3 linked regions of the Elephas maximus indicus genome follow. The protein of the gene in region 1 binds, or shares a complex with, the protein of each later gene. Links are inferred from orthologs where the notes say so. Each region holds a gene or a part of one and is shown in the gene's direction. Other genes may lie near its edges. The genes, in order: ERC1, PPFIBP1 and PPFIA1.

Region 1 (7,483 bases):
TTTTTGGGCAATTTTTTCTCCTTCATTTATTTTATTTTTCTTTCTAGTGTAAGACTAGTCCTGTTGAATTGACCCTCTATTTTTCTTGTATTTTCTCTCACAATGTTCGTCACTTTGCATATTTCTTCTCTGTTCTTTGATATTTAATAGACATTTTATCTTCCACACTTCAATTGACTATGTTGTTGCTAGGCACGGTCAAGTCTGTTCCAATTCATTGTGACCCTGTGTACAACAGAACAAAACACTGCCTGGTCCAGTGCCATCCTCACAATCATTGTTATGCTTGAGCCCATCACTGCAGCCACTGTGTAAATCCGTCTTATTGAGGGTCTTCCCCTTTTTTGCTGACCCTCTAATTTACCAAGCATGACATCCTTCTCCAAAGACTGGTCCCTCCTGATAACATGTCCAAAGTACGTGAGAGGAAGACTTGCCATCCTCACTTCCAAGGAGCCTTCCAGCTGTACTTCTTCCAAGTCAGATTTGTTTATTCTTGTGGCAGTCCATTGTATATTCAACATTCTTCACCAACACCATAATTGAAGGGCATCAGTTCTTCTTTGGTCTTCCTTATTCATTTCCCAGCTTTCACATGCATTTGGAAACCAAAAAACCCATTGCTGTCAAGTGGATTCAGACTCATAGCAACCCTGTAGGACAGAGTAGAACTGTCCCATAGGGTTTCCAATGAATGGCTGGTGGATTCGGACTGCCAACCTTTTGGTTAGCAGCTGTGCTCTTGAACAATGCACCACCAGGGTTCCACATACATATGAGGCAATTGAAAATACCATGACTTGGGTCAGGTGCACCTTAGTCCTCAAAGTGACATCTTTGCTTTTTAGCATTTTAAAGAGGTCTTTTGCAGCAGATTTGCCCAATGCAATACATCATTTGATTTCTTGACCGCTGCTTCCATGGGAGTTGATTGTGTATCCAAGCAAAATGAAGTCCTTGACAATTTCAATATTTTCTCTATTTATCATGATGTTGTTTATTGGTCTAGTTGTGAAGATTTCTGTTTTCTTTATATTGAGGTGCAATCCAAACTGAAGGCTATAGTCTTTGATCTTCATCAGTAAGTTCTTCAAGTCCTCTTCACATTTCAGCAAGCAAGGTTATGTCATCTGCATATCATAGTCAGTTGGCTATAGTTTTAGCAATTTCTTATTTGAACACCCACTTTCATTCTTAGATTGTTATTTCATCATAGTACGGTATTTTTGTTTCATAGATGCAATATAAATCTATGACAGTACTAACTAGTTTTTTTTTTTTTTTAAGTTCTCTGAACCTCCTTTTTCCTCTATGGTCACATTTTCTATTTACCCCACCTGTGATCATTAAGGTTGTGTGTCAACTTGGGTGGACCATGATTCTCAGTGGTTTGGCAGTTACGATGTAGTTTGGCAGTTGTATGATGATGTAATCACTTCCATGATGAGATCTGATATAATGTGATCACCTCCATGATGAGATCTGTTGTGAGTAGCCAATCAGTTAAAAGGAAGTTTCCTTGGGGGTGTGGCCTGCATCCAATATAGGTAGACTTTCTGGCAAAGCTCGTGGACTGTTGCTTGCTCTGGATCCTGTAGCTGGCTCCCGTTTGTCCGGCCTCTGGTTCTTGGGACTTGAGCTAGCAGCTTACCTACCATCTTGCCTGCCAGTCTTGGGATTCTTCAGTCTTTGCAGCTTGTGAGCCAGATCCCTGCTGTCTGTCCTGCCAATCTTGGGTTCTACAGCCCCCGCAGCTACAGGAGAAGCCTCCAGCCTGACCCATGGACTTGAACTTTCCAGCCTCTACAACTGCATGAACCATTTCCTTGATATAAATCTCTCTATATATTTATATACTTTACTGGATTTGCTTTATTAGAGAACCTAGCCTAAGACACCACCCCATCTTTTAAATATCTAATGATCCTTAGTTGTCTGTTCATATTTAAGATGAGGCAATTAATGCTGATTAGGAGTCTTGTGAACTTGTGAGGGTCTTGCCAACTCACTCAACTTTACTTTAGGGTGAGTGAAAAGTAAACCACCTATTATGCCAGAGTGAAGAATGCTTTACTCTTAGCATTTACTCATAATAATTGCCCAAGTCCTCCCCCAGAGAGTCTGACAGCTCTTGATTAGTAGCCTTCAGTAAAAGCTTGGGTATTGTATGAGATATGGAGAGTTCTGCTGTTCTGTACCAAAAAAAAAAAAAAAAACAACCAAAGCCACTGCCATTGAGTTGATTCTGATTCACAGTTACCCTATAGGACAGAGTAGAACTGCCCTCTAGGGTTTCCAAGGCTGTAATGTTTATGGAAGCAGATGGCCACAGCTTTCTTCTGCAGAGCAGCTGGTAGGTTCAAACCACTGACCTTCTGGTTAACAGCTGAGCACTCTAACCACCGCACCACCAGGGCTCCTTCTGTTCCATATACAGACTTTTACTTAGATTCTCTGTTTTCAGCCTGCTTCTTACTCTTGCTCTCTTGTCCGTGTCTCTAAATCTCAGTCTCTCTAAAGTACTTCTAGGTCAGGCCTCCTTTGGCTCTAACATTTCTCTCCATGGTTTTCTTTGCTTTGTTTAATCATATTACATTCACTTTCTGTATATGAAATTAAAACTTTTTTTTTCTTTTTCTGATGTCCCCTGAATTGGGTTGAATAATGTTCCCAAAGATTCATGTCCATCCAGAACCTGAGACTCTGATATTACAGTATTCCTGTGTATAACTTAGTGCTTAGCATCTTAACTCTCCAGATCCACGCAGTTTAGGGATATGATGGACCTCAGACATCTAGTTCAAACCCCATTTTACAACTGAGAAAAGCAGGGCCTGAAGTAAAGTGATTTGCCCAAGGTCACACAATTAGACAGTGACAAACCGGAGAGTAAAAAGATATATTAACTCCTGGTTCACTTGCCTTCTTACCTTACACACTGTTGGGGAGTACCCTGATGGGCAGATCAAGATTTTGATGAGAAAGTCTTGACAAAGAGTCAAAGAAGGATAGTTTTTACTGCGTAAATAGTCAGATGTCCAAGCGAACGAAATATATTAGGATGATTATTTGATGATTATTCGGCAGCTATATAACCTTCTTCTCTGGCAGTACATAGGCTAACAATTGGTAGCCATATGTCAGATGTACTGAAGGGGGAGACTGTACAGCAGGGCCAGGAACTGCAATGATCTAAGTGTACGATGACCCTGGGAAGGGACAATTAGAGTGGCTGAATGTGAATACCGAGGAGAGAGGGGAAAATGTTGGAGGGATTATGGGGGTCGGTAAACTGGTTAATTACGAGGTGGGGAGAAAGGAGTGAGAGGGAGGGGTAAAACTCCTCCCCTCTCAAGGGCATTTTAAATTATTTGAACAAGCACTGCAGGGCTGGGAATAAATAGAGTTCACACCACTCTTACTTCCTCGGTTTAGAGATATTTTACCTACCTTCTTAAATTAATGGCTGCAGCTACTCTCTTTGCATGACTCTGATGAAAGAAAACCGACTGCCATTCAGTCTAAGAAAATCGAGTTGCCTGAAATAAGGCACCAGTTGTTTGGTAGACTCTCCTAGCTGTTAAGAGGACCAAATAAAACTGTTAACGTAGCACAGTATTTGGCACATAGCACGGGGGTGAATGTAAGCATTGATTTCCGCCCACACTCTGCTCTCCTCCCCTGGCATAATAACTACAGAAAAACTCACGTACACTGGCGGTGAGTCTTCTGAGATGCCCAAGTTCTTTCCCTAGAGTCGTGTGGACAGCCCGGAGTTTCTCAGCTTGTATTACTACCTTCTGCGGCCACATTTCGGAAAAGCTAAGGGTGGGGGGAAAAAATGCAACCCCTCTGGGACAAAGGGTGCCCACTGCAGAAGTGGGAGCCCAGCTGTGAATCTACTGACAACCCCAAAGCTACTCCCTAAGGCGGTGGCGGTCCCAGGGTTTGTGTAACGGGCCCTGCGAATGAGGGAGAGGGTGGGGCGTCTCTGAGGTTTGGAAAAAAGACAATTCCCGTCTTCGGGCTTCCAGGCCATTCACTTCCTACGGCAAGCAGAAGGAGACAAATGCCGCCTTTCCTCACTCCCACCTACCGCCTTTTCTCAGAGCCTGCTCTCCCTTTACCCTCCCTCGGCCACAGTGTGTGTGTGTGTGTATGAACGTATGCGAGTACGCTCGCGCTCTTTACTCTGCTTCCGCGCGGAGGTACCGCCGAAGACCTGAATCACTCCCTCTTCCTATCCCCTAACCCGCCTTCCCCCGGAAGGCGCCGGGAGGCCTGCGGGCTTCCGAATCGCGCTCCCGGGAGGGTGAGGGAAAGGGAGGTAATCGGGCGGGGAGGAGGTGGGGCAGCTCGTGGCGTCTCCCGACCCGGGGGACTGTGGGCGGGGCTAGGTGTCGCGCAGGGGGCGGGGCGCAGTGACGTCGGCGGGCGCCCGGACGGTGCTGTGGCGGTGGCGGCGGCGGCGGCGGCGGCGGTAGTGGTGGTGGCGGCAGCGGTGTCGGAGCTCGGGCGGCAGCGGCAGCAGCAGCTCAGAGGAGGGTGAGACGACCGAGATAGCGGCAGCTTGGAAGTCGGGCGGGACCTAGAGCTTCCCGCCTGTCCCTGGCGCTGGGGCTTTCGCCGTTTCTTACCCGGCTTCTTTCTTACGGCCCTGGCTAGGGCAGGGCAGAGCGCCCCCGGGGAGGGGCGGAGCCGTAGGTGAGGCTTCAGGACCCCCTCCCCCTTCTCTCTACGGGGGTGTGTGGGGCTGGAGAGCTCCGGGGGGGGGCGGACCCCACCCTAACCCACCCCAGCCCACCGGCGGGCTCCACCCAGCCGAGCTTCGGGATTGGGCGGGAGCTGAGGCGACAGATGTGGAGAACCGGGGGCAAGAGGTGGGAGTCTGGAGATGGGGGCTCGTCTGGAGATGGGGGCTCTGGGCGCTTGGCGAACGGGGGGTTTATGAGGCGTGATGCTGCGGGCGAGGTAGTGGGGAGATGGAGAAATTGGGGAGCCATGAGGTTGGGGCGCAGTCAGGGTGGATCTATGGGTTTAGGTGACCGATGTAAAATGTTGGAGATGAGGATTCCTTTTTTCCTGTTTTTTTTTTTTTTTGTGTGTGTGACACAGTGAGGTAGGAGATGAAGGGTTGTATTTCAAAAGGAAGATGGGCTGTGGATGTTGCTTTTGAGGCAGTTGGAGAAGCTATTGTACTAGGTCTCACATTTCTGTTTGAGGGTTTTGGTTATTTTTCTTATTCTAGGGGGGCGGGTGGGGAGGGTATAGGGCGCTGAGAGAAGAGAATCGCATTGCTTTGGCAAGGTTTTGATAAATTGTGAGCGTGGATAGATCTGAAGTTTTACACCCAAGAAGAGTGTGATCTTGGGTTAGACAACTTTCTTTTGGCAGCAAGCATTAGGGAATAGGTCACGTTACCCTAGTTCCTTAAAGGTGTTGTCTTCCAGTCTTTTTTCTGTGCCTAAAAGATCTTTCTATACCATCTTATTTATAAGTTTTATCCTGGCACTTCTAGAGAAGGCTTGAGAATCAGATGTTACTTTGGAGCATACATTTCTGAGTAGTAGTTGCAGGTGGTTGGGGTTGACTGCATTGGGTGAATAAAATGAACAATTTGAACAGTTCTGTTGTAGCTAATTATATGAAAAATGCCTAAATGCTTCAAAGCACGGCTGTTTTTTACAGTCCTTGTTTTCAGTAGACCTTGATATTTAGACAATTTGGGTTCAATTATTGGAGATTATTTCTCAATTGAGGATGTGTGTATAATCTTATTAAACACTATAAAAGATGAAATGAAATAATCTTTTTTTTAGGTAGGCCTCTTAATTTCTGAGGCATGTTCTTGGAGTTGAGTGCTTTTAAAATATTCTTTACTAAAATGCTAGGGGGCATTGTGCTTGACACTTTACAGGGAGATGTTACTAAGAGTAAACAGTGTTCTTCACATCAGTGTTTCACAACTTACTTAGCACAGTAAATCAGAATCTTCTTTTCTGAATTCCTGCTCCCTATTAGGTTGCAGTGTTCACTGACCTTGCATATCAGTGTCATTTAAGCTATTTCTTGCCTAGAAAACAGGTCCAGTGATAGACATGTATTATGTAATGGATAGAAGTTGTCATGACCCTCAATAACTCATTTATGGAGGAAGAGAAACCGTCATGAAGTGAAATTTAAGCAGTGACTTTCCCAAGGCTTACCCAATTTATTTGGGAAAATAGCCAGAGAAGTCTTTCGTGTGTAACCCCAAAGAGAAATATACAGATGTCAGTTTCAGTAGTTACAGGTCATTGCCTTTCTACATGCCTATTTAACGAGCAATATCTTCTAGCAAATACTTCTGCTTGTGGAGACTTACAGGGTACAGTTAAGAGGGCGTAATAGCTATTAAGTGAGAAAGGGTATGGTCTCATTTATGAGGATAAATCAAATAACTGTATTCAGACAGATTGAATTATAGGTTGGTACAGTGAATACTTTTGCTTTTGGGATAGTTACTTAAAAGGAAAAAATTAAAATTCACATATCTAGTTTTGGCTTTTCAATTTTACTTTGATTTAATTGAGTACACATGGGGTCAAATGTGACCTAAGCTACAAGGTAAAACTGTGCTGTTAAGTGATACTTGCATGACTCATAGTGGGATGTGATTCTTCTGCTTGTAGGAATGAGATCATATGATTTGAAGGAAAGTTTAAGGTAGAAATGACCTATTTCTGTTTAGAATTCCTTATGCCTGAAAAGTGCTACATTTTATTTTTCAAGAAATGTTACTTAAACATTCTTTAAAGAGGTAGAAAATCTAATCGCCAACTTTATTTGGAAAGGAAAGAGACCCTGGATAAGCAAAGCACTGCTGAAGAAGAACAAAGTAGGAGGCCTCACGCTTCCCGATCTCAGAACCTGCTATGTAGCCACAGTAGTCAAAACAGCCTCGTACTGTACAACGACAGACACATAGACGAGTGGAATAGAATTGAGAACTAAGAAGTAAATCCATCTACCTGATCTTCAGCAAAGGGCAGAAATCCATTAAATGGAGAAGAGTCCCTTTAACAGATGGTGCTGGCAAAACTGGATATCCATTTGCAGAAAAATGAAACAGGATCCACACCTCACACCATATACAAAAACTAACTCAAGATGGATCAAAGACCTAAATGTAAGACCTAAAACTATAAAGATCTTGAAAGAAAAAATAGGGACAAACCTAGGGGCCCTTAATTTATGGCACAAATAGACTATCAAACATAACTAAAAGTGCACAAACAGGAGAAGGTAAACTAGATGACTGGGATCTCCTAAAAATTAAATGCTTACGTACATCAAAAGACCTCTCCAAAAGAGTAAAAAGAGAACCTACAGATTGGCAACATTTTTTTGGCAGTGATATATCTGACAAGGGACTAATCTCAAAAATGTATAGAAAACTTCAATACCTCAACAGCAAAAAGGCAAACAATCCAATTAAAAAATT
Region 2 (7,916 bases), about 29 Mb from region 1:
CAAAAGATGATTGAAAAAGCAGAAATAAATGACAGATGGGACAAACAGAAAAAAATAACAGGACAATAGACTTAACCCCAATCATATTAATAATTATATTAAATATAAATGGATGAAATTTGTCTAATTATTCCTTAATTCTGTCAGCTTTTGCCTCATGTATTTTGAAGTGTGCAGAAACATTTGTGATTGCTATGCCTTCGTGATGAATTGACTCTTTTAACATTATCAAATGTCCTGCTTTATTTCCAGTGATGCTTGATTTGAAGTCTAGTTTTTGTTATGTTAATATAACCACTCCTGCTTTCTTATGCTTTCTCTGTGCATGGCTTCTCATTTTCCATTCTTTTACATTTATATTTCTTCATACTTAAAGAACACCTCTTATAAACAATATATAAAAATATATATACTCAGGGTTTTTTGTACATGTGTGCTGGTATGACAGTCTCTGGCTTTTATTAAAATGTTCCATGTATATTTAATGTAATTATTTATATAGTTGAGTTTAAGTCTACTGTCTTGCCGTTTGTTTTCTGTTTCTCTCATACGTCTGTATTACCTTCATTTCTGCCTTCTTTTGGATTGAGTATTAAGGTTGCCTTTCCTGTTCCTCCTCCCACCACTGCTGCAGCCCAGACTGCTCTGTGGCTGCTACCGTGGGAGGAGCTATGGTCTCAGGCCTGGCCATAATGCACAGGCCGCCCTGGCCGAGTGGGGCAGTGGCCTCGCGGGGCATCCCCTTTGGTGCTGTGGCAGCATCTGCATGGTCCCTGCCAGAGGTGAGCACAGTGGGACAGGCATGTGTGGATGGGCATTGGGACCCCTCCCTCCTGCCGCCCCAGGGCCGGGGTTGACACAGGATCCAGAGAGCTAGTGAGGGACATCTAGGATCTACAGTACTTACTAAAGTACCTCTGCTATGTCCTGTTCTCTGATCAGAATCTCTGAGCTCTGTTATAACCTTATGGGACCTTGGATGTTTGTGTGGTTGGACATTGCCCGGATGGACGTTATGCAGCACATACCTGTATATCTTTGTTTTATAGTTTCAGTGGATTGCATTATATATTCTTAACTTATTATCCATCTATCATGAACTAGTATTAAACATCTTCATGTATAATGTAAGCATTCAACAATACTATACTTCCACTTAACCCCCTTCTATCCTTTGCATTATTTTTGCCATATATTTTACTACTCCATATACTAACAGCCTTACAGTGTATTTTCCTCTTTAAATTGTCAATTGTATTTTAAAGTAAAAAAGAAAAGGAAAATGATTTTAAAAAAATTTTATAAACATATTTATATTTTCTGTGTTTACTATGTACTTTTCATTCCTTTATGTAGATTTAAGCTTCCACGTGGTATCATTTCCACCCAATTTGAATAATTTATATTTGTTTTTTTTTAAATAGTTTTCTTTTCGCTTCTAAGATTCTCAAACTGTTCACTCGTTATCGTCATCTTTACCTTTTAAGGCCTTGAACATGTTTATCATAAGCCCATTGCCATCAAATCAATTCTGACTCATAGCAACCTTACAGGATAGAGTAGAACTTCCCCATAGAGTTTCCAAGGAGCGCCTGGCGGATTTGAACTACTGACCCTTTGGTTAGCAGCCGTAGCACTTAACCACAACTCCACCAGGGTTTCCATAGGTGGTCTAGCTTTGTGGTACTCCAAGTTGCACTCAGCCGATCCTAGTCTACTACATAATAAGTATAGCGATTGAGAGTTTTTATAAACTTTTATAGCAATTTAATATTGTCACAATATTTTTATATATTAAAAGAAGTATTGGTTTTTAATGAATTAGGGAAAAAAAAAAAAAAACTGGTTCTTCATCAGTTTGAAAAGTGCAATTTAGGTTGTCCCGTGCCTCTATATCACAGCATTTGAAAGTCTCGTTGAAAGAACAGAGAAGAAATAGATAACTACCTATCATACTTGTAAAAAATGCTTGTACTCTATGCAAAATACAGCTGCTAACAAAGACACATATTTTTCTGATTTTGTGAGGTGGTGAGAGTGTTTTTCTAACACGGGTATTACTCTGTTTTATTGGTATCCGCCATGTTTATAGCTAAGCCTGGCATGTGTCCATTTGTTTTTAATATGTGTATATCAGAATATCTAGAGCTCTTTGAAGTGCTACTTTTAAAATGAAAGGGAGTAAAAGCCACTTAATTATATGAAATTCAGGTAGCTTGCATTCTTCGGCTTGATCCTTTGTGTTCTCCATTATCACATTCTGAGTTTTCCAGCACGAAGGCAGTTGTTGCTTTTGTACCCTCTCCCTTTGGACTGTGCACTAGCTGAACGTGCAAGTAAGGTTTTGAAAACTATCTGGGTTAAACCCCCACCCTCATTTTCCCCCACCCAGTGGTTTCTGAGTGACTTTATACAACTGCCTTGAGCATTTTTATACTGTAGTTTTCCCACATAAAATGGTGGTGATAATTTACACCTTTTGAAGTGAGTAAATTTCTAGAAAACTCTTAGATGAAACTACTGTAAAATCAAAGTAAGATTTCACAGTGATTATATGGCATTTTACTAGATTGAATGCATAGTAGAGAACTGAGTGAGATGCTGTTTACTCGAACTGTATGTATATTTATGAACATAAAGTGGTAGGTGAGATCGGGCTGCTTAGAAACAGGACAAAGGTTTCTGTTAAACAGCATACTTTTTCTTTACCAGGTCATTGCTATACCACGGTGTCTGCAAAGAGGAGTCATCTTATTCAGGCCTGTTGGGAGAATATACATGGATGCTTAGTCTGCTACTTGAAATGTATTCATTAATGTTGAAAGTCACATAATCTTAACTTTTCCTTGTGAATGACCAAATTTTTTGCAAGAGTGATTTCAATATATTTTTTAATGCTGTTTTTAATAATTTATTTTTTTATTGTTTTTTTAATTAACTTTTATTGAGCTTCAAGTGAACATTTACAAATCAAGTCAGACTGTCACATATAAGTTTATATACACCTTACTCCGTTCTCCCACTTGCTCTCCGCCTAATGAGTCAGCCCTTCCAGTCTCTCCTTTCGTGACAATTTTGCCAGCTTCCAACTCTCTCTATCCTCCCATCCCCCTCCCCCCCCGACAGGAGATGCCAACACAGTCTCAAGTGTCCACCTGATATCATTAGCTCACTCTTCATCAGCATCTCTCTCCTACCCATTGTCCAGTCCCTTTCATGACTGTTGAGTTGTCTTCGGGAATGGTTCCTGTCCTGGGCCAACAGAAGGTTTAGGGACCATGACTGCCGGGATTCCTCTAGTCTCAGTCAGACCATTAAGTATGGTCTTTTTGTGAGAATTGCGGGTCTGCATCCCACTGATCTCCTGCTCCCTCAGGAGTTCTCTGTTGTGCTCCCTGCCAGGGCAGTCATCGGTTGTAGCCAGGCACCATCTAGTTCTTTTGGTCTCAGGATGATGTAAGTCTCTAGTTCATGTGGCCCTTTCTGTCTCTTGGGCTCTTAGTTATTGTGTGACCTTGGTGTTCTTCATTCTCCTTTGATCCAGGTGGGTTGAGACCAATTGATGCATCTTAGATGGCCGCTTGTTAGCATTTAAGACCTCAATATATTTTTAAACAGGTAGAAAGATGAATAGATTCTGACACAATTTCAACATGAAATAGGCCCCGTGATCCTTCATTTATACTGTCAAAGTCTGTGAAAACACGGAGATTTATTGTTTCTGAACACTTGCCCAGATGAGATCAGATTAACAGAAGTTCGATATTGTAGTGGAAATTAGACAGATCTAGGTTAAAATGAGCTTTGTTATATTTACTTGCTGTGTGTTTATGCAAAACTCAACAAATGTCTTTGGTCTTTATCTATAAAATGGAGATAAATATATCCATTTTATAGAGTTGTCACTATTAAAGATTATGGATAAATTATATGAATGTATAGAGACCATTGTAGGCACTCAATACATGGTAGGTATTGTTACATTGGAGCCCTGGTGGTGAAGTGGTTAAGAGTTTGGCTGCTAACCAAAAGGCTGGCAGTTCGAACTCACCACTGCTTCTTGGAAACCCAATGGGGCAGTTCTGTTCTGCTCTGTCCTGTAGGGTCACTGTGAGTCGGAATTGACTTGATGGCAATGGGTTTATTGTTACATTCTAAAATACCAGTATGTTTGTATATGTGTGTGTTTAGTATATATGTGAGTGAAGCTGTTTTCTTAGACAGATCTTATGGTAAACCCTAACACAAGGGAAAAAACCAAAACCAAATCCATCGCTGTCGAGTCGATTCTAACTCATAGTGACCCTGTAGGACAGAGTAGAACTGCCCCATAGGGTTTACGAGGAGCAGCTGGTAGGTTCTAACTGCCGACCTTTTGGTTAGCACCCGAGGTCTTAACCATTGCACCACTGGTGCTCCAATAAAAGGGAAGGGGTAGCAAAGTTAAGATAGCAGAGATTGAGTGGGGCTGGTGCAAGGAGAAGGAAGTCTTGTCTACTCAGCAGTCATGGTCCTCAGCAAGATTCCATAGCCATTCCCAAAGCACTTCAGAGAGTCCTAGAGCTCTACAGAATATAGCGTGAAAAGCATTCTATTGAGTTTTAAATACCTTGAGTACAAGGACTGAAACTTTAACTGATACAGATGTAGCCTGTGGTCTTGCAGTACAGTAGATGCTTGACCACGGCTTGTTGAATGATTCAGTTAACTCAGCTTAACTACTTTAGAAGTCCTGTCTTCAGATATGACTGCTAAGTGGAGTTATAATTTGAAGTTGAATCAGCAAACCTGCTAGCAATAGCAAGCATGTGTTATTTAAAGGATGTAATGATAACATCATTATTTTTTCAGATCTAGGTTGGAATTTGCCATTGAAATATAAGAAAATGATGAGTGATGCAAGTGACATGTTGGCTGCAGCGTTGGAACAGATGGACGGTATTATAGCAGGTAATCCATGTCTTCCAGAAGCTGGAATCATGGCATGTACTCAGCTCTCTTGGCTTTTTCATTACAACTCTCTTATTATCTTCCTATCTTCTTTCTTGTTTCTGTGTTTTGACTCTCTCCAGTGCCTTTAGGTTCCCTATGGTTTCATCTTTTCTGCCCTTTTCCATTCTATACCAGAATTATCCTCAAGCATTAGTTTAAAATCCAAAATCCAATTAAAATCCAATTCCACCCTAGCTTCTGATCAATGATAAAGAATCTGCATCTTGATGATTCTGGTACAGTGGTCTGTGGGCTGCGCCTGGAAGGACACTTCTTTACCTAGTATCTATGCATGTTCTGATCTGCTTCCTTGAACTCAACATTCACTTTTCCTTCAGTGACTCTCTCATCCATATCTTTGACTTTCCCAATTCTTTGCTAAGCTTCAAAATTCTTTGCTATCTCTAACTGCCAACCAGATATCTCTCCTGAAATGTCCTGTAGGTACATCACTGTCATCATTTAACACATTAAGGTCGTTATCTTTCCTTGGAAGCCTTTCTGTTCATAACCCTTCATCCACATAGTTTCTTAAACAAGAAATTTAAGTCGTTCCAGATACTTTTGTCCCTCATGCTCCACATTTAATTAATCGAATTCTAACATTTCTACCTCCTCCTAAAATTCTGCCTCTTCCTTTTATCCTTTCTAGAATCTGTCCTGTCTGTGCTACCATTGTCTTGGCTTGTCCAAGACACCCACCCACTCGATGTCCGGATATTCTGGCTTTTCCACTCTAGTCCATTCTTTCCTAGACCACCAGACATCACTTTCTAAAACACAGACTTGGTTGGATTACTCCCTGGTTAAGAATCGTCAACAGTTTTCTATTGTGACAGCAGAGCAAAGATCACTACATCCTTGTTTGCTCATCATGGCAGAGGGGGTGACAAGTAGGTGACCCCCTTGCAGTGGTGGCTTCTCCTGAGGAAAGTGGCATGTCATAGTTTGACCTTATCTGTTATACTCTGTCCTAGAGACCAGACTTCAGTTGAATCTCCTTTGCATATTAGACTGCACATTGAATACTGTATTCAGTTTTTGGAATATTGTTTTCAAAGGGTTATTGGCAAGCTAAAAGTTGTCTAGAGGTGGCAAACATGATGGTGAAGAATAAAACAGTCACATTAGTAAAGATCATTTGAAGGAACTAGTTAAATGTAATCTAGAAAACTGTTCTTACTTGGGGCATGATATATGTTTTCAAACATTGAAGGGCTATTTTGTGGAAGAGAGATTGAACTGACTCTTCTAGGATATCTGAAAATATAACTAGAATCAATTCTAGGCTTTTGCCAGAGAGTATAACCTTACATTCTTAGCAAAACTCTGGTTGAGATAAGTGATTTTTTGGAGCATTATTTGAAGGATTTACGATTTATATATTCTCCTAGATTTTTTTTTTTTTTTCCTAGATGCCTTGTTGTGGAGGGATATGGGCATATATATTTATAGTAATCTCGTCAGTAATGCTAATGCTTAAGAACCACTGGAATGGGACTTGTATGTTTTAGTAAACAAGTAGTTTGTATATTTGACACATCAGAATGGGCTATGGATTAGCAGTGTGAATTTAAGTAGTATGGTAGAATGGTTTCATTGGAAGTAATAGAAAGCTAACTATATAAATGTTTTAACTATAAAACTAACCGTATAACTATTGTTAAAAAAAAGCTGACATTAACAGTAGCCTTTTTGAGGTTTAGGCTGCAAACAAAATCATGGGGAAAAGTATTTATACAAACATGCTCACACACACATACACATGTAATTCATTGAACTTCTTCAGAGATTAAATTCTGGTAAATTAACTGGAAACTGGCCTTCTTTTCTTACCTTTGAAATTATGCTATGCAGTTTCCACTTCAATGTGTAACTTTTTTAAAAGAGTTTAAAGACTTCCTGGTCCCTAAAATTTGTGTTTTCTGGAATGCGTAGCTCCATACAAACTGACCTGCCTCCCTCCGTCAGAGGTTTTCAGGTAGAGGCCAGTGTACTTCTTGCCAAAACCCACCGTACCTTTTTTCTGCTTAACAGTTGGCCTTTCTGTTAGGGATTGGACTATTGATTACAGCTGATTCTCATTGTTCGTGTAGTTATGTTCTGTAAATTCCTACGAACGTTGAATTAGTGAATACCAAACCAGGGTTGTACACTGAGCTCCTCAAATTTTTTGCCGCTCTCTGAGTGGACGTATCTGTGAATGACCACGAAAGCACCATGGGTATTGATTTTGGGGTTACAAATAAATTTTAGTGAGTAGGCCAGTTGGCAAATATGAAATAATGAGGATGGACTGTATATGGTATATTTTTGTACCATATAACTATGGTGTGGAGGGGGATTTACATGATTGAATTATTATCTGACCCCCCCCCCCCCGTGTTTTTTTCCCGTTCTTTGTTTTGGTTTGATTGTTCCTTATTGTAATTAAACTTGTTTACTATCTTCAGCTCTGGCGTTTTATCTAATGTAAACCCCATCGCTTTCCTTGTGATATTTTTAACCTAGGTTCTAAGGCCCTGGAATATTCTAATGGGATTTTTGATTGCCAGTCTCCCACCTCCCCATTCATGGGAAGCTTGCGAGCACTGCACCTTGTGGAGGACCTGCGTGGATTGTTGGAGATGATGGAAACAGATGAGAAAGAAGGCTTGAGGTGCCAGATCCCAGATTCAACAGCAGAAACGCTGATGGAATGGCTTCAGAGCCAAATGGTAGGTGTCTCTGCATGTTAAAAGCCCCATGCTGTGAATCTTTTGTCACTTATTCTAAAATTTAGAGGCTAGAGTAGCTGATTAGAACAAGAGAAAAAAAATTATAGTACAACAGCTTTGTTTTAATTTTATCCCTTATGTGATCCCAGTTCCCTTTTCACTCTAAGGAAAATTTTTTTAAAGTGCTGTTAGGCCGCCTGATTCTGC
Region 3 (7,665 bases), on another chromosome or scaffold:
AAATTATGGCTGAGGACTTTGGACACATTACTGAATCTCTCTGAGCCTGTGTTCTCATCTGTAAAAGGATGTAGGATACACTTGGTGGTTTTCTTATTCTCAGTTCACCCAGAGCTGCCTATGCTCCCAGGGACATGACAGGTACTAACCACCCCTATGACAGGCACATTGATGGACCCAAATTTCAATTATTTGGTTTACAATGAGAAATGGAGCTGCCATGGAAACCAGAACACTTGGGCCAATGGTCTCCCCTGCTTTGCAGATGTTTGGACCTCAGTTTACTCATCTGTGAAATGGGAAGAATACAGGAATGGCCATATGAGGCATTAAGACTTAGAAAGACAAATAAATAAAATGTTAGCTCTGTGTTCCTTCCCCTTTCTCCTCGTTTACCGACCTTGTGCCCGTTGCCATCAGGTTGATTCTGATTCATAGTTAGAATCCCTATAGGACAGAATAGAGCTGCTCCACAGGGTTTCCAAGGAGCGGCTGATGGACTCCAACTGCCAGATGTTTTGGTTAGCAGCTGAGCTCTTAACCACTGCACTACCACAGCTCCACCAACCTTATGGGAAGCGTGAAAAGCGTCGGCTGTAAAAGCCGATGCGGCCAAGAGGATGAAGCCCTGGGCTCCTAGCCCTCCTCAGGGAAAGGCGCGTCCTGGGGACTGGATTACCTGGGCTGCACTGCAGACCCACTGAGAGAATGCTTACTTTTTGATTATGCCTTAAAGTGACCACTCCTGTGTCACTGCAACATGATGACCAGTCCTGGCTCAGGCCCCAAACTAAGCTGGGTTCCTGTGGGCAAATCACTTTGCATCTCTGGGTCTCAGTTTCCTCCCCTGAAAGGCGGGGTGTCTTAGTCATCTAGTGCTGCCATTACAGAAATACCACGAGTAGGTGGCTTTAACAAAGAGAAATTTACTTTCTAACAGTCTAGTAGGTTACAAGTCCAAATTCAGGGTGTCAGCTCTGGAGGAAGGTCCTTGTCCTCAATCTTCCCACAGTCGAGGAGCTTCTCAGGCACAGGGACCCCGTGTTCGAAGGATGCGCTCTGCTTCTGGTGCTGCTTTCTTGGTGGTATGAGGTCCCCCGCTCTCTGCTTGTTTCCCCCTCCTTGTATCTCTGGTGGTACAGGCCACACCCCAGGGAAACTCCCTTTACCTTGGAGCAGGGAGGTGACCTGAGTAAGGCTGGTGTTACAATCCCATCTAATCCTCTCAACATAAAATTAGAGTCACAAAATGGAGGACAACCACGCAATACTGGGAATCATGGCCTAACCAAGTTGACACATATTTTTGGGGGGACACCGCTCAATCCATGACAGGGGGCTACACCCTCCAAGGTCCACGCTGTCCCCCACATGGCTCTTCTAGCTCACATCTTCCCAAACTGTATTGCCACAACGACATCCATTACGTTCCTTTACATATTCCAGATAGACTGTGGCACACCCTGATCTCCGGGATGGAGGCTGGGTCACTCCTGCACCTCAACAGGAACCCCGCTCTTTAGGCTGCTTACCCCATACCTGACTCAACGGCATCTAACAACGCCCCACACCCACTGCACTTGAGTCGATTCCGATTCATAGTGACACTATAGGACACAGTAGAACTGCCCCATATGGTTTCCAAGGCTGTAATCTTTATGGAAGCAGACTGCCACATCTTTCTCCTGCAGAGTGACTGGTGGGTTTGAATAGCTGACCTTTCGGTTAGCAGACGAGCACTTAATCACTGAACCACCATACCTCCTTTTGTCTGCCTTGGCGGTAGTGTTGTTAGGTGCCGTTGAGTCGGTTCTGACTCATAGCAATTAGAAAGAAACACTGCCTGGTCCTGAGCCATCCTCACAATCATTGCTATGTTTGAGCCCATTGTTGCGCCACTGTGTCAATCCATCTCATTGAGGGTCTTTCTCTTTTTCTCTGACCCTCTACCTTACCAAGCGTGATGTCCTTCTCTAGGGACTGATCCCTGCTGATAACACGTCCAAAGTACCTAAGACGAAGTCTCTCCACCCTCCCTTCTAATAAGCATTCTGGTGGTACTTCCTCCAAGACAGATTTGTTCGTTTTTTTTCTGGCAGTCCGTGGTATATTCAATATTCTTCACCAACACCATAATTCAAAGGCATCAATTCTCCTTTGGTCTTCCTTACTGTTCAGCTTTCATGTGCACATGAGGTGAATGAAAATACCATGGCTTGGGTCAGGCACACTTTAGTTTTCCAACTGTGAATATCATTAAGTATTCTGTCATTTGGAAGTGCAATGATTTACTTAGTGAGGTCGTTGAGGTTTATGCTTTTCCTTACTGATTTTGCAATTTGGAGGAATGAAATGAATGAATGAAATTTGGGATTTTCATTTTCCTGGAGCTACACCAAATGGGCTTCTCCCTTCTCTGCTTGGAAAACTCCTCCTCCTTCTAGATCCAGCTCAGATGTTACATCAGGTCGTCTGTGATGCCAGATGGAGAGTTGGTTTCCACTCCTCTGTGGTCCCACAGCACCAGGTCACACACCCTTTATAGGACAACAGACCTAGGCCAGTACCTGGCTCACAGGTGCTTGGGCAAACGTTGACGGAATGAGTGGAAGTCTACCCTGTTGAACTAAATTTTGGCATTTCTCAGGAGAAAAGCACTTCACGAGCTATGGTGCAAGTAAGGGTTGGATGAACTAAGCAGGTACACCTAAGGAGGGCTGGACATTTTCTTTTGTTGTAGACCCTGATTGGTGACCCGGGGGACTGGTCCGGAATTGCTGGTGTGTCGGGGGGGAATGGTAGCTGGACAACACTTCCCAGAACTAAGTGATCACCTTTACAATTTTAAAGTAGCAAAGAACCAAGGGCCAGAGCTGAAAATTGAACACCTATGTGTAGTCATTCAATAAGTACTTGTTGAACGAAAGAATAAATGGATGGAAGGAAGGCGTGATACCGGCACCTGGGAGGCAAGTCAATCCCAGGAAGCCCTTGCTCTTGGTGAGCTCACGTCGGAAAATCAAGTAACCTGCCTTGGAAGAATTGCCCCCATGCCATGCAGCCTTTAGACCTGATTGGTCCAGGGGCTCCTGGCTGCCTCACCTTCACACAGTGACATTCTGACGATTTGGTTTGTGAAGAGTTTATGCTCCAGGAGTCAGACTCTGAGGTGGGTGGGTGGGTAGGAGGTAAGCATCTGCTTTAGTTTATTAAAGGGTATTTATTAATCTCTGTGTCTGGAACACCTGGAAGAGGACTGGGCACACAGTTGTTTTTAGGTGCTGTCGAGTCGGTTTCAACTCATAGTGACCCTATGCACAACCGAAGGAAACACTGCCTGGTCCTGTGCCATCCTCACAATCGTTGTTATGCTTGAGCCCATTGTTGCAGCCACTGTGTCAATCCATCTCGCTGAGCGTCTTCCTCTCTTTTGCTGACCCTCTACCAAAAATCATGTTCTTCTCCAGGAACTGGTCTCTCCTGACAGTATGTCCAGAGTATGGGAGAGGAAGTCTCACCATCCTTGCTTCTAATTAGCATTCTTGCTGTACGTCTTCCAAAACGGGTTTGTATTGTTCTTCTGGCAGACCAAAATGGGCACACAGTAAACAAACAAACAAACAAACAAACAAACCCAAACCCATTGCCGTGGAGTCGATTCTGACTCACGGTGACCCTATAGGACACAGTTAAGCTGCCCCATAGGGTTTTCACGGAGCAGCTGTCAGATTTTAACTGCCAACCTTTTGATTGGCAGCTGACGAATGTTTGCAGAGAGGACAGAAGTGGCCACCCCGATGGAACACCTCCACAGCCAGGCTCCCAACTCGTTGCTTTAGGGATGTTCTGTTCCTCAAAACCACCTTGCAGGTAGGTCTGTACCATTTTCCCATTGTACAGGTGGGCCATTGACTCCCAGAGGGGTTTCGGTGTTACTCAGGCCCACGCTGAGGGTAAAGTTAACAGCGCTGGGAGGAGAACCAGCGAGCCCGGTTCCACAGCCTGCATTCCGCATCTTCGCCTGCCTAGGTACCGAAGGTAAAGCTTAACCACGGCTCTGGTGTAAAAGCCGCGTCCTTCCTTGTGCTGCACGGCCTCGGTCCGGGAGGCCACCTGAGGAGGGTCTGGAGGCGACACTCGTGGGCTTCCCCCGCCCCTCGGCCTCGGGTGGGCGTGCGCCCGCCTCCTGCCCCGGGCCCAGGGTGCACCGGATGCTGGGAAGCGTCTGGCGCAGACCTGAAGCACAACTGACGCTGTATAAAGGCCATGCTGTTCCGGCGGCGGTTAAGGAGAGACCTCGACGCCGCCCGGCCAGGACCTGCGCCGGGAGCAGTCAGTCGCTCCCCACCTTCCCCAGGTGGGCTGGGGGCGGGGCTTGGGCGCGCAGCCAATCAGCGCTCGGGCCGCGCGGCCGCCCGGCCCTGAGGAGGCGGCGCTTGCGCAGTGGGCGCCCGTCCCGGGGGCGGGGCGTCCGGCGCGCCGGCGCTGACGCTCGCGCGACGCGTCCGACGTCGGGCACGTTGACGCCGGTGACGCGCAGGCCGGGCCCGCTCCTCCTCCGCTCGGCAGAGTCCGGCCGCGGGCCGGCCTTCGTGACTGGCGACGGCGGGCCGGGCGCGGGCGTCGGGCGGGCGGCTGGGCGAGCGGGCGCCGGCCGCGGGCGTCCTTCGTGGGCCCTGAGCGCGCCGGAGCGAGCGGCCGCCCGCGAGCCGCCGCGGAGCCTCCTCCCGCTCCCCGGCGAGCAAGGTGAGGGCGCGCGGGGAGACTGAGGCAGGCGGGCGACGCGGGCCGGGGTCCCCTGCGAGCGCCGGCCTCGGGCGCGGCGGGCCTCCAGCGCCCGCCGAGGGGCTGCGCCGCCGTCCGATGTCACCCTCGGGCACCGGGACCCTCCGGGGGCCGCGGCGGGGCGGGGGGCGAGGCCGGGGCGGAGGGGGACCCCGGCGGGACCCCAGCGGCCGCGCGCCCCGGTGCTCTCTGCCGCCCTCTCCGCCCCTGGGACCGGGCGCCCGGGCGACGCGCCGCTCCCTCCCGGACCCAGCGCCCCGGGGGTGGCGAGCTGGGCGCGAGGGGCGAGGACTGGTGGCGCCTGCAGCCCTGACCGGGGCGCCAGCACACGCCGGGCCCCCGGTGCGGACGGCTCTCAGCACCCCGGGGTCGGGGGCGCCCGTGGCACCTGGTGCAGGAGGGGAAGGGAGGGCGAGTGGGCTCGAGGTCATGGTCACTGCCGGGGGCGCCGTCTTGGGCACCTCTCTCGGGGGGTCGGCGGTGGCCGAACACAGCCCAGAACCCTCGGGAGTGAGCGCCGCTTCCATCCCCTCGTCCCGTCCTTGTATTTGAGACATTTCCCAGTCTGCCATCGTCTCACCTTTCACTTTTCCTTCCTTCCTGGCTGACCCCGGCTGTGTCGACCTGCGGTGTTTCCATTGTGGAATTTTTTTTCTTTGCGCTGTAAACTTACGTAAAAGTTAGGTTGACTGACCAACTGTTGCAGCCATTGAAAAACACCTCTCCCAGCCCTTCCCGAATCCAGTTCCTTTTACTGCTCTCCAAATCCAAGAATTCAGGGAGCCGTCATTCCTTCCCAGGAGCTGACTGTACACATTCTTGCCAGATGCCTGGTGGATTTTGTACTTGTCAGTGTTACTGGCTGTGTGCTCCTTCTGTGCTTTCCCTGAAAAAAAAAAAAAAAAAAAAAAAGATTGGGTGGCATGTGTTTTGACTTTTTCTTCCCCACCGGGAAATAGGAAAAAAAAAAAAAAAAAAAAAGGGTTACAGAAGCACTCTTGTTTTCAACAACAAAAATACCGCTTTGCAAACAAAATCCCTTAGGGTTTGTTCTTTATGAGATGGGTAGCCCTCCTCAGTCTTTACTGCTCCACTGGGTTATTTTTGAGGTTAATGTCTTCATCTGGCGTGACTGCCGAAGGTTTCACATGTGTTTGCATTTCCAGTTTATATGTGGAGCATAACAATCAGACCTGAGAAGAATGGGGCGGACGCCTTTTTCTTTTATTAGCTAAAAAACAAAAACGAAAACCTGTTGCCCTCCAGCCAGTTCTGAGTCACGGTGACCCTGTGTGGTATTCAGTAGAAGTGCTCCGTTCTTGTCTCTAATTCCGGAAGGAGATCACCAGGCCTTTCTCCCACGGAGTGCTGGGTGGGTTTTCACCACCAGCCTTTAGGTTAGCAGCCAATCTCGAACCACTTGCTGCACCCAGGCTCCTGTGTATTAGCCATGAAACCCGACCAAACCCGTTGCCGTCAGGTTGGTTCCAAGCTGTAGATACCTATAAAGTTGCAGACCTGTGGGGACCTTTGTTTTGCTCATACCAACTCCAGTCTGTGTCTGTCATTTCCAGATGATGTGCGAGGTGATGCCGACCATCAGTGAAGCAGAAGGCCCCTCAGGAGGAGGCGGGAGCCATGGGTCCGGCTCCCCATCCCAGCCTGATGCAGACTCCCACTTTGAACAGTTAATGGTCTCCATGCTGGAAGAAAGGGACCGTCTTCTCGATACGCTGAGAGAGACTCAGGAAACGCTGGCGCTCACCCAGGGGAAGTTACACGAGGTTGGGCACGAGCGAGACTCCTTGCAGAGACAGCTCAACACTGCACTTCCACAGGTACAGATGCTGCCGAGGTTTCCACTAAAGGCTTTCGTGTGGTGTCACTTTCTGTTAATGGTTCTGTGAGCATTTTGTACAACTAGTTATGAAATGGCGGCTTCTGGTGATGAAGTTCCCGGGGCTAAAACTTCGTAGGGAGAACAAACTCTGTGGTACTCCAGAGTCACGTGAAAATACCTTACAACTCTCATTCCTGTCCTGGGGCAGCAGAAGGGATTGTCTAGGTGTGGGACAGTGCTCCAGCATTTCTGAGAAAGACCGTGAACCAGTCAGGCTATGTGGGGCCTTCGGTTCCATTGTCTTCAGCTGCCTCTTGCCCAGAGTGTATTTCCCATGCATTCTTTTTCATGCCTTTCCAATTTCCTAAAGAAAATCAGTAGGCAAATAGGATAGATTTCAGAGGAAAGAAAAATTTTTTTACAGCCCCCCTTTACCAGAACACCTGTTTTCTAAACCAGATTTGTTTTAGGGGTTGGAAGAGTGGAGATAGACACCTTAGGAACTTTTCCTTGGCAGATGAAAACGATCAGGCTTAAGGTCACCTTGAAGTTGTTATTCTAAGTATATTACGTTTGGACCAGTGTTTCAAAGCCTTTCGTTAAGGAGTTGAATGAGGATTCAGTGATAGGTGAAGGGGGAAAGTAGTAAAACTAGGAAAGTGTACAGTGAGTGTTGGCGTGCAGCGGCCATGTCTAGGTGACAGAGGTGTTGATGGGATGTCTGGGTGCCATGTTACCTATTCAGAGCGTGTGCCTTTATGGAGCTTTCAGGTAGACCTGGATAAGCATACAGTTACGCAGAACCTTCCTGATGGGTCTGCAGTGATAAATTAGTAAATTGATAATTACTGGCCTTAATGCATTTCTTGGCTTTAGCCGATTCTCTTGAAAGATTGATAAGCCCGACATTTGGATTTCCTTTGTAGCAGCAACGATTTGATAAGATTTCTGTGTGTTCTCTTTCGGTTGGATGAGAGCATGATAGAGTGTTTTCTTATTAAAAACCCACTTATAAATTACCATGTTTGTTCAGGTCAGAT

What was found.
Region 2: ERC1 (region 1) and PPFIBP1 share a complex: the UniProt entries of both Homo sapiens proteins name them as parts of the cortical microtubule stabilization complex. The link is inferred for Elephas maximus indicus from reciprocal best matches to the Homo sapiens genes ERC1 and PPFIBP1.
Region 3: ERC1 (region 1) and PPFIA1 share a complex: the UniProt entries of both Homo sapiens proteins name them as parts of the cortical microtubule stabilization complex. The link is inferred for Elephas maximus indicus from reciprocal best matches to the Homo sapiens genes ERC1 and PPFIA1.

What each region holds. Positions count from the first base shown.
Region 1 is NC_064822.1:57,730,403-57,737,885, reverse strand, and holds the start of ERC1 (ELKS/Rab6-interacting/CAST family member 1), read left to right. Parts: upstream 1-4,443; 5' UTR 4,444-4,545; intron 4,546-4,563; exon of another isoform or gene 4,564-4,704; intron 4,705-7,483. UniProt on the Homo sapiens protein: Regulatory subunit of the IKK complex. Probably recruits IkappaBalpha/NFKBIA to the complex. May be involved in the organization of the cytomatrix at the nerve terminals active zone (CAZ) which regulates neurotransmitter release.
Region 2 is NC_064822.1:86,402,623-86,410,538, forward strand, and holds the start of PPFIBP1 (liprin-beta-1), read left to right. Parts: upstream 1-4,851; 5' UTR 4,852-4,886; coding exon 4,887-4,950; intron 4,951-7,503; coding exon 7,504-7,709; intron 7,710-7,916. UniProt on the Homo sapiens protein: May regulate the disassembly of focal adhesions. Did not bind receptor-like tyrosine phosphatases type 2A.
Region 3 is NC_064825.1:133,170,599-133,178,263, forward strand, and holds the start of PPFIA1 (liprin-alpha-1), read left to right. Parts: upstream 1-4,625; 5' UTR 4,626-4,746; intron 4,747-6,359; coding exon 6,360-6,623; intron 6,624-7,665. UniProt on the Homo sapiens protein: May regulate the disassembly of focal adhesions. May localize receptor-like tyrosine phosphatases type 2A at specific sites on the plasma membrane, possibly regulating their interaction with the extracellular environment and their association with substrates.